3 linked regions of the Rattus norvegicus genome follow. The protein of the gene in region 3 purifies or fractionates together with the protein of the main gene of each other region. This does not show direct contact. Links are inferred from orthologs where the notes say so. Each region holds a gene or a part of one and is shown on either strand. Other genes may lie near its edges.

What was found. The genes of interacting proteins can lie anywhere in the genome.
Region 1: the proteins of Prr3 (region 3) and Rbms1 purify together in Homo sapiens (co-immunoprecipitation; 3 studies listed by BioGRID and IntAct, with this or other methods). This does not show direct contact. The link is inferred for Rattus norvegicus from reciprocal best matches to the Homo sapiens genes PRR3 and RBMS1.
Region 2: the proteins of Prr3 (region 3) and Dhx37 purify together in Homo sapiens (co-immunoprecipitation; 3 studies listed by BioGRID and IntAct, with this or other methods). This does not show direct contact. The link is inferred for Rattus norvegicus from reciprocal best matches to the Homo sapiens genes PRR3 and DHX37.

What each region holds. Positions count from the first base shown.
Region 1 is NC_086021.1:65,826,107-65,830,340, forward strand, and holds the start of Rbms1 (RNA-binding motif, single-stranded-interacting protein 1), read right to left. Parts: upstream 2,908-4,234; 5' UTR 2,469-2,907; coding exon 2,394-2,468; intron 1-2,393.
Region 2 is NC_086030.1:36,854,931-36,859,044, reverse strand, and holds the start of Dhx37 (probable ATP-dependent RNA helicase DHX37), read right to left. Parts: upstream 2,908-4,114; 5' UTR 2,826-2,907; coding exon 2,723-2,825; intron 417-2,722; coding exon 247-416; intron 1-246. UniProt on the Homo sapiens protein: ATP-binding RNA helicase that plays a role in maturation of the small ribosomal subunit in ribosome biogenesis. Required for the release of the U3 snoRNP from pre-ribosomal particles.
Region 3 is NC_086038.1:2,802,822-2,805,218, reverse strand, and holds the end of Prr3 (proline-rich protein 3), read right to left. Parts: coding exon 2,354-2,397; exon of another isoform or gene 1,795-2,353; coding exon 1,688-1,794; 3' UTR 545-1,687; downstream 1-544.

The DNA of each region.
Region 1 (4,234 bases), on a different chromosome or scaffold from region 3:
ATTCTCGGTGAGTTCATTAACTCTTCAGGCAGATTATGCTTGTCATTAAACTAGAAGTCAAATAAAGTCTCCATATTTCTTAATGACTTCCACTACCGCCATCTTACCAATGACTACAGGAAGGAGAAAAGGGGTGTGTGTCCCTGACTCCGACTCTGATATCTAGAATCTACATCTCCGTGTTTTTGGAGACACTCCTTTCTGAACTAATTATGACACCTTTACAATGGGGAGTTTAGATTTAATTACCAAACTTTTAAAACACCACATTATATAGGTCAAGCGAGGACGCACCTTTCTCCTGAAACAAAGGGATTCAGAGTAATAAGATTTCAGATTTCATAGGAGAAACAGCAAAGTATGTTTTGAGGCTGTCATTTACTGTAACACAAATCAATATTAAATGCTTTATGCAGGAAGCACACTTTCAGAAAATGGACCCTAAAGCTTCCTGGGATCCAGCCCTAATTACTCCAGCAGGCTTTGCCGTTTGTCCCTCTCTTCAATTATTTACAGGGCAAAAAAAAATTTATATATATAATAATAATAAAAGCCAAATGGCATTGCATTAGCTATATTAAATGCTATGCAGTTGGTTTCTAACTTACTAATGGTACATAAAAATTACTAAGGTAAATGTTTCATAGGAACATGGCTCCTCCCCTTCTTCACCTGAATGTGTGCATTTATTATTCATGGAGTTAAGTGTTGAATAGGCTTGTCCTTCAGGCAACCAAATGCTGCATAATTATTTAAATGAATGCATCAAATATATAACACAGCTAAAAGGTGGCGCATAGATCACGTTACGAAATTTCTTCAAACAGCACACATACACAGAGAGAGAGACAGAGAGAGAGACAGAGACAGACACACACACACAGAGAGAGAGAGAGAGAGAGAGAGAGAGAGAGAGAGAGAGAGAGAGAGAGAGAGAGAGAGAATCTCCCTCAAGTTCCTAAAACAATGGCATGTCAACCACATGGAGATGAACGGTCCTGCTCTAGCAGTTGCGAACACCTTACAGATCTCCAGTGAGCGAAGGTAAATGGGGAATTGGGAGAGCAGCAAGGAGGCCTTTAGGTGCTGGGAAATTTCTGGCCTCTGCTGACAAGTCCTTTTTACGTGGACAAACACTGAGCTATGTTGTAGGGCATCATGGACCACACACATTGAGAGAAAGAGAAGCTTTCAAGGTTGAAGCATAGATTCTTAGTACCAGGTCAGCAATGTCCATCTGCCAGCAAACAATCCCCTAAAGAAAGTTCAAACACTGCATCCATACCTGATTCTTTTGTGATCTAGAAGGACATACTAGGTGTGTTAACAGCTGAAGAAGGCTGCTGTACCCACCATCCCATTCTGCCTTTCCTAATTGTGGCGTATGATTCCAGGGCGGTAAGGTGCACTTTTCATGAACCCTAATAATTTTTTAAAATTAGTTTATGAGACATCAAACTGTTGTAAAATTAGCATAGGCCCATTAACAAAGTGCCCAGGGTCCCTGGAAAGCCAGGCACAATTTGCCTGCCTACATGTCATCAGCGGTCCTTACCCAAGACTGTGCCACTTTTGAGCAGAATTGGAAATCACTCTCTGGTACACACTCAAGGCGGTTTAAAAACAACAACCAAAAAGGAAAAGTAAATACAAAGTCACTTCTTTTTATGCATCGAAATCTGTCCATTGTCCCTCCCATGTAAAAGCTACAGAGAAGATTAAAGGGGATATCAATGAATGCAGAGTGAACTTTGGCCACTTCTCTACCCAAAACACCAGCGTAAAAGTGGAAATCAGTAACCAGGTGAAGTGCCACACCGCACAAAGATCAGAGGCGAGGGGCGGGCGCACAGGGCCCAAGGCGGGGAGGAGACCGTCCCGGCCCCCTCCAGCCACCTTCGTCGCGCGCGCGGGAGCTGGAGGGTAGTCCTGTGGGGCGGGGCGGGGCGGGGCGGGGCGGGGGGCTGCGCGCCACTCAAGGGGACCCCACAGTTACTGCCCGCAGGGCGAGGCCCTGGAGAGGTCTGAAAGCCGTGCCGCCAGCAGGTCCTGCCGCGGGCCCCAAGCATCGGCCGGCCGCCAGCCCGGGCTGGACGAGGGGGAGCCGTGAGGCCGCGAGACCCTTTCCTCCTCGCCGGCCAGGAAGGGGCCAGCGGTCCTTTCCTGTCTAGTCGCTCCCCCCCGCTACTCTCTGTAACCCGATCGCCGCGATCGGCTCCCCGGGAAGCCGCCGCCCCGCGCACAGCCTGGCTCTGCCCAGGCCAGCGCTATAGTTAGCAACCCCAGCACTTGTGCCCAGAGGCGGGAGGGTCGCCGTGCGCCCCTCCCCAGCCCGGCCCGGCGCGCGCCTCCGCGGTCCCCTCCTTTGGCGACCCTTCCCCGCGCCTCCTTACCTTGGCTTGCAGATACTGGGGGTAGTAATAGGTGGCGTACTGAGGGTACATCTGTTGTTTCCACACTTTGCCCATGAAGCTGGAAGGAAGCCTGCCGTGCAGGGTCGAAGACACTTTAGGTTTTCCAAGTCCCGATCTCTTTCTCCTGCCTCTCCCTTTCCGGAGGCGGCGGCGGCGGCTGCCTCGGCGGCTGCTGCTGCCACTGCTCCACCTCCCAACCGGGACCAGACGACGTCCTCCTCCTCCACCTCCTCCTCCTCCTTCTGCTCTTCCTCCTCCTCCTTCTCCTCCTCCTCCTTCCAGGCAGACAGAAAGACACTGCAGAGCGCAGAGGACACCCCGGACAGGGCGCTCCCAAGGAGTTTCCTCTGGGAGCCCGACTGTGCCCGAGCTGCCAAGGGCTGGCGCTCTGGCCGCGCTGCGCTCCGGGAGCAGGCTGAGCCCAGCTACGAGTGATCAATACAAGTGGAAAGTACGGCGGCGGCGGCGGCTGCGCTTGGTGCCAGGCGGCATCTGGGGTGGGTGCGCCCGACAGCGAGAGGGGAGAGGGGCTGGCTGCCGAGGCCGCGGGGGAAGGGCGGCCGGGGGCGGGGCTTGGGCGCCGCCGAGCCCGGGACCCGCTGGAGGTGAGGGCTGACTTTCCACCACTCCTCACCTCCTAGGCTCTCAAGAGGACGCACAGAATCTCTGGGAGCGGCGATCGCTTTGTGTCCAGGGTGGGAATAGGTTTGGTAGACCCTGCTTAATAACTGCCGAGAAGGCACCTCTAGCTTTCCTGAGTTTTTAATCTTCGTAAGTGGGGGAGGGAGGGAGGGAAAGAGGGAAAGAGGAAATCTGATTAATCTCTCACTTCCCCCAAATTCCCGGACCGGTGATTTTTTTTTTCTCCCCACAAAGGAAAATGCTTTAATGTCCAATCACAAAGCTGGAGCCAGGACACCTGGGTTCTGTTCCACCCACACACCAGGTCACAGCACTAATTTTCTAAGTGACCTTGGGAAGGTTAGTGTCCTTCGGTTTGGTTTTCCCAGATGTGAAACCATGCTCTTTGCGTGTACACACACACACACAAACACACACACACACACAAACACACACACACACACAAACACACACACACACACACACACACCAAACTAGCGGGTCCTTCTAAGGGAAAGATGCCAAAAAGAGGAAGAATGTTATTAGAGGACACAATATAGACATCAGTTTCTCCCTGCCTTTTCTAATGCTGCCAGACAGTCTGTCAACTCCCACTCAGGAGCAAGGAAACTCCCTGAGTTTGGAATATTTTAAGGCCATTTTGAAAGTCACGCTGGCATATTGTTGCAGTGTGTTTCAGTGACACATAAAATCAATCTCCCTTTCTGCTTCTCTCCGTCTCCTAATTGTCTCAGCTCTAGACAGCCCCAGACGAGCAGCGGTTCAGTTCACTACATAACTGGATATAATTTAATGGAGTTAATTGGTCCCTGAAGTTGCCTGCAGAAGACTTTTATATTCTAGCTAAAAAAGAGACAATATGAGATGTACAATAGGATGGGGAAGAGAATGTCCCTAAGTTGATGTCCTTGCCCGGCTGATAAAAGACTAGGAGAAAAACATTTATTGAATCGAACTCGGTTGCTTTGTTTTGTTTTCTTGTTTTTTGTTTGTTTGGTTTTGGTTTTTGGTCACTTCTCAGTGCAAGGTAAATCCAGTCAAACAGGAATGCATGATTTTCTTCAGTAATCAGATCTTTATATGATTATATTTTAAGACAGGCTTTAAAAATGATAAACACAGTGGGCTGGAACCCTTATCTTTATATGATTTAGACAAGTTTCTGGGCTGTACATTTT
Region 2 (4,114 bases), on a different chromosome or scaffold from region 3:
TTATGTTTTATATACACACCTCTTCACGTACATGATTTTTTCCATCAGGCCATCATCACACTCAGAGGCTCGATGGGATGCCACATGTAGCTAGTGGCTACCGTGTCACTGGACAGGTAAGAAACACTCCCCTCCTTTCAGCGAGTCCCACTAGACAATCTTGCTGCAGAAATTACATGGAGGGAAAGACTCCCCTCCAGCCCGCTGACCTGGAGAGCTGGGGCAGACCAGCCACACGAGGCATACCTGGCTCTTCTTCTCCTTCTGTTCTAAGACCTTCTGTAGCACCTTCCTCTCCTTCTTCGTCAGGGGCTTCCTCTCTTTCTTGGATGGAGGAGGCGCCTTGGTCTTCTTCTTCTTCCTCCCAGGCAGCACCAGGGCGTTGCTGGCATCTACCCCTTTCAACACATCCTTGTCTGAAAAGACAGCCACGGTCTCACCAGGGGGCAAGAAGTCACAGGGTGGGGGTTGGGGATTTAGCTCAGTGGTACAGCGCTTGCCTAGGAAGCGCAAGGCCCTGGGTTCGGTCCCCAGCTCCGAAAAAAAGAACCAAAAAAAAAAAAAAAAAAAAAAAAAAGAAGTTGTCACAGGGTGTCCTAGAGGCTCACTCATGACAAACATCAGAGGAGGTCACCACCTCCTGCAGGTGGCCCACAGCACCTCCCAATCTCTGAGTGCGAAACGAGGGTCTGTGGGTCACAACTGTTAGCATTACCAGGAGGGGCTGGGGATGGAGCTCAGGTGGGAGGGAACCTGGCTACCATGCTGAGAGCCCTGGGTTCCAACCCCAGCATAAAACCAAGTATGGCAGTTCGGGACTGTACTCATTTGAGAGAGACAGCAATAGGGCTAGAAGTTCAATCGCCCCCTGACTACACACACAGGCCAGCCTGGGATACGTGGAACCCTGAAGAATGCTCACAACCTGGCTACTGACCTGTGGGCTGTGCCAGAGGCTGTTATGATTCCACCGAGGAAAAGTTCCGTCCCATTTTATAGATATGAAAACAAAGGCAGAAGTATGTGAAGTGACATGCCCCAAGTCTAGGTCTCAGGAGCCGGGAAGACATACTTGATTCTACTGGATCAGATCGCTTTAGCTCTACTCTCCTCCCGAACCAGCCTGATCCTGACCATACCTTCTACTATTCCAACCAATACCTTCCTCCCTTCAGGACCCCAGGGAGCATCTGAGATGAAGCGTGAGTCCTTTTCACGAGATCTGGGTCAGCACCCTCCTCCCAACTCTCCTCCACTCCCCTCTCCTTCAGGGCTGGACCCTTCTCAGCGAGCCAAAACTTCACTCATCAGACGTAAGTAAGTGCCATCTATATACAAAAGTGTTTATGCCCCCCACACCCCCCAACTTGCCTGTCTTGAACAGCTGAGTCAATAGCTTCTAGTTTTCCTTCGAACATCTGCAGAGCCTCAAGTACTCCCACCCCACATCTGCCTTCTCCAGCGGCCTGACCAATGCCCATGCACATCACCTTTGTGCTTACACACAGTCTCAGTCAGCAACTCAGGCCAGCTCTCTTTTGGAATACACCACAATCCAAACACTATCTCCCTGCTCCAAGCACCAACTCTAGCTTCCTACCCCATCTTCCTTCAACCTGTGTTGCTTTTCCTTATTGGCCCAACCGATATGTCATGGTTACACATTATCCTTCATCTGTCCCTCTTCTGCTAAGTCTTCTATAGTTCCTCACTTCCTCTGTTAGAAGCTGGGGATTAGGCTGGAGAGATGGCTCAGAGGTTAAGAGCACTGACTGCTCTTCCAGAGGTCCTGAGTTCAATTCCCAGCAACCACATGGTGGCTCACAATCTTCTGGTGTGTCTGAAGAAAGCTATAGTATACTCATATAAACAAACAAAAAAATCTTAAAAAAAAAAAGAAGTTGGGGATAAGGTAATGTCCTGCTTTGTAGCCCTAAGGGAGCCTGGTACAGGTTATGTAGCCCAACTGCCCTCAGGTGCACATCTCTCCCTACAGCCAGGTTTACAAATCTCTCTCAGACACACAGCCTTTTTGCTTGTTTGTTCTCACTATGTAGCCCAGGTTTCCCTCAAACTTGTAGGCATCCTCTTACAGAAAACTCCTAATCCTGGGGTTACAGCACTGAGCTATCATAGTCAGCCACTCCTCACTTTTAAAATCTCAATCATTTCTACAACCCGCAAACTCCGATGTCCCCTAGCCCCTGGGTTTCCCTCTCATCTTCACCCAGGTTTCTTGAAGGTTTTGGCATTTTACTATCCATGGTGGGTCTTTCCCAGCACAGCACTCTCTCCCATCTTCGGCTCTATCTCTCTGGTACTCACCCCTGTGCCTGCCATATTCTACACATTTTATCGTTTCTCTGTGCTGGTCTTCTCCGGGTAAGCAGGGCATGCCTGGAGTGTCAGGGTTTTCCATCTCCACTTCCGCTGTCACTACTCCCAGAGACCAGAATAAGTGTCCCCTGTGCTCACAGGCGCCCCAGTACCCAAGCATTGCAATTAGCCTAGCGCACGGCTAACGGGCCGGGTCTGAAGCACCACATTTACGGGTCTCTGGAAAGGAGATGATTATGATCGGCCTGGGAATGGATGCAAAGAACTAATCTGCGCGTCATATTCTGAGCAGTAGCCCCATGCCCCGGGAGAGAGGCTGTCACGCCCCCTGTTCGGGTCATGTGGAACCCGGCTCCCACTCCAGGGACCCTCCCCAGCTTCTCACCCTCCAGCTCCAGCCGCACGGGAGGCGCTTCAGGACCCTTGGCGGGCCGGGATTCCGCCTGCAGCCGCCCCTTCACGTTGTAGCGGCGTCGCAGCTTCCCCATGGTTCCTTCGCCACGCGCGTGGCTCACTCAGACAAACTCTCTGGGAACCTGAACCAAGCTGCGAGACTTCCGGGTTGCGCATGCGCAAGAGCCGCACTTCAGCAGCTGAGGGGCGGGACTGGAGGCCCGACCTGCCGGAAAGGGAGGTCCTAGCGGAAGAGGCGGGCGTACTCTGTCTGTGGGAGGTCCCTATGTAAATAAGGGGGCTGGGCCTAGACCTGCGGGAAGAGCTTGAGTTTATGATCAAACTTGTCTTCCTGCCAGATATCGGACTTTTGAACTGTATAATAATATTAATTTGGGGCTGAAGAGATGGCTGAGCTGTTAAGAGCAATGGCTGCTCTTGCAGAGAATCTGGCTTCGATTCCTAACACCCACATGGCAGTTCACAACCGTTCCAGGTGATCCATCTTCTGGCCTCCTTGGGAACCATGCTAATGTGCATACTCAAATACATACGTAAAAAATACACACTCTCGGGGTTGGGGATTTAGCTCAGTGGTAGAGCGCTTGCCTAGCAAGCGCAAGGCCCTGGGTTCGGTCCCCAGCTCCGAAAAATAGAAAAGAAAAAAAAAAAATACACACTCTCACACATACACATGTCAAAATACAGTAAGTCACCAGACGTGGGAGCACTTGCTTTTAATCCCAGCCACCACTCAGAAGGCAGAGGTAAGTAGATTTCTGTGAGTTTGTGACCAGCCTGGTGTATGTATGTATGTATGAATTTGACTAAACATAAAAACATACATACAGGGTTGGGGTTAGCTCAGTGGTAGAGCGCTTGCCTAGCAAGCGCAAGGCCCTGGGTTCGGTCCCCAGCTCGGAAAAAAAAAAAAAAACCAAACATACATACATATTTCCAGATAAGCCATAGCGACATAGTAAGACCTTGTCTCAAAAATAGGGGCTAGTAGGTGGATCTCTGGGTTCAAAGCTAACCTGGTCTACAGAGCAAGTTCCAGGATAGCCAGGGGCACACAAGAGAAACCCTGTCTCCAAAACGCCAAAATAAATAAATAAATAATAGGGGGCTGGAGAGATGGCTCAGTGGTTAAGAGTACTTGCTGCTCTTACAGAGGACCCAGTTTTAGTTCCTAGCCCCCACACAGTGGCTCACCACCATTGCTAATGCCAGTACCTTCTGACCTTTGAGAGCACTGGCTACACTTATGGTGCACATAATACATTACCATGGTATGCAGGGAAAGCACTCACATAAGTATACATCTTTAGTATGAATTTGACTAAACATATAGACTATAACTCTGCCCCTAATACAAACGTCT
Region 3 (2,397 bases):
ATCTCCATTTCTAAGTCTGTCCCCCATGGTCAACCTTTTTTTTTTTTTTTTTTTTTTTGGTTCTTTTTTTCGGAGCTGGGGACCGAACCCAGGGCCTTGCACTTCCTAGGTAAGCGCTCTACCACTGAGCTAAATCCCCAGCCCCATGGTCAACCTTTTGACAGTGAGACAAAGTCATTACAAAGATATCACCTACAGCGTTCATGTGAATTACACGTTTTGATTTACAAGGGAAAAATATCACAAAATAAGTGGTAAGTGAGCCACTCTTCAGATTCTGTGTTCAGACAGAAAACAAAAATACAAAAAACCTCAGCTCCAGGCACTGTTGCCAGGCACTGCCAAGACTCCTCCCCTCACTGCTCCTCCTGTGCATCCTTCAGACCTCAGCTCTGTGTCACTGATCTGCTCTCCGCACAGCAACACTTCCGGAGTGTACCTTTGCTTCTGATGAACTAAGGGAATGAATGGACTCCCTAGAAGCCTCAGAGAAGGCTTCCCTGCACCTGCAGAGAAGACTGGAACAGAGAAATGAGAGAAGACACCGGTTTCCACTGTGTTTATTACTAATATAAAAAAAATTAAAAAGAAAACAAAATCATTCTTAGTTCTAGCGCTCTCTCTCCTCTTGCACACATACCTCCTGACCCACTTCCTTAGGGCCTGTTCAAAACCCAACATGTTCACTGCTGTTTTCACAGAAAACACCCAGTGTGAGGGAAGTAAGAGGGTCAGAGAGGTGACAGACAGTACTGTTCAGGTTCCATCCAGAGACAGGCGGAGATTCACAAAGTCAAATCAAAGGGCTGGTGGCCTCACAATGACAGCCTAACTAAAACGGGTCAGGCAGGAGCTGTGTTGGGAGGCCCGTCGGAAGCTTTCCAAGACATCACTGGCCTGTGTCAGACCCAGAATACCAGAGGGCACAGAACAGGAGGGCACGACGGGGAGGCAGTCTGAAGATGTCTCACATCCTCCCGTTTTGGGAGGTAGGTGAACTCTAGAGGGCACCAAGAGCCTCACTTGATTTGGCAGAAAAACTTACTCTAGTGTTGGGAAGTCACAAAAAACGCCACAGACACCGAGGAAGGCTACAAGGGGCGTACAGTTTCACAAAGCACAGTGACCACAGGCCTTAGCGGTGGGGCTCATGCTACGGACAGAAACTAGGACGTCCAAAAGCAGGTGGAGGCTGTTTAGGGAGCAAGTCTGTACCAGTCACTCAAACTCAACCTCAAGCCGGAAAACCTAGTGCACTTCCTGGCAGCTGCAAACACTGGGGTTTTACGTGAAAGGACTTAAAACAAGCAGCTAGAGGATAAGAGACTGCTCCAGGGTTCTTGGGAACTGAGGGCAATACTGAGGGAGAGGTGGACAAATGCACAAGAAACAGCACCAAAGGTTTCCTGTGGAGCAGTCATTTGGCAGAGGGGAAGATCCAGGAGGCAGTGGAAGGTAGCAAGATGGGGTCCTGAAGGTCTCTACAGCCTGGATCAGAGGACAGTGTGTACTGTGCACCAGTGACAGTCACAGCTCTGGACCCCAAATGGGAGAGATGATGAAAGGGGTGGACGTGCCACTGCCTGAAGGTGACAGAAGAGCCTTCAAGTAGCTATAATGGAGCCACAGAGAATGCATGGCCACTAGGTCAGAGGGCTCCTTCCAGCCTGGGTGGGAAGGCACAGTCTTACAGAGGAGGTCCGTTGACGCCTGGATGGTAGAAGGCACAATGGTCTTCATATCGACAGTGGCCCTTCTTAGAAAAGTGTCGGCAGACAGGGCGGTCAGATTTGTCTGTGAATAAGGGAAAACAGCAGCTTAAAACCTTTTGAGAGCTGGGTGAGGAGGCTCACACCATGGCCCCAGCCTTCAGAGGCCGAGACAGAAGACACAAGTTTGAGGTCAACTTGTCCACCCACCCCTAATAAAACACAACTCTTCCAACTTGATGCCCTAAAAATCCTAAGAAAGAAAATGTATAGAATGCAGAGAGAAAGCCAAGGTTTCTACCATATACTGTTTACAAGTATTTTGGCTTTTTCTTTCTACTTTTGGTGCTAGGGATAGAACACAGGGCCTCAGGCATGATGCACACCTTGTTCAATCACTGAGCAAGACTCCCAGATCACCAAGTATTTTGGAAAGACAGTCTTTCTGAGGGAAGAAAAGTGTTCAGGGCTATTGGTACCTCTTGAGGCAGCTAAGAAGCTGGTAGTTCAGCGCTAGAGGACTCCTCAATACAGGTAAGGCCCTGCATTAATTCTCAGTGCTGCTCAGTGAGAGCCTAAAGGAGAAGATTCCCAGGCCTGCTGGTATACAGGCCACGGCACAAACATAACAAAGTGGGCCTTACCTTCCATCATCGGGGGGCTGTCCTTAGGTGGGTAGGTGTTCTTG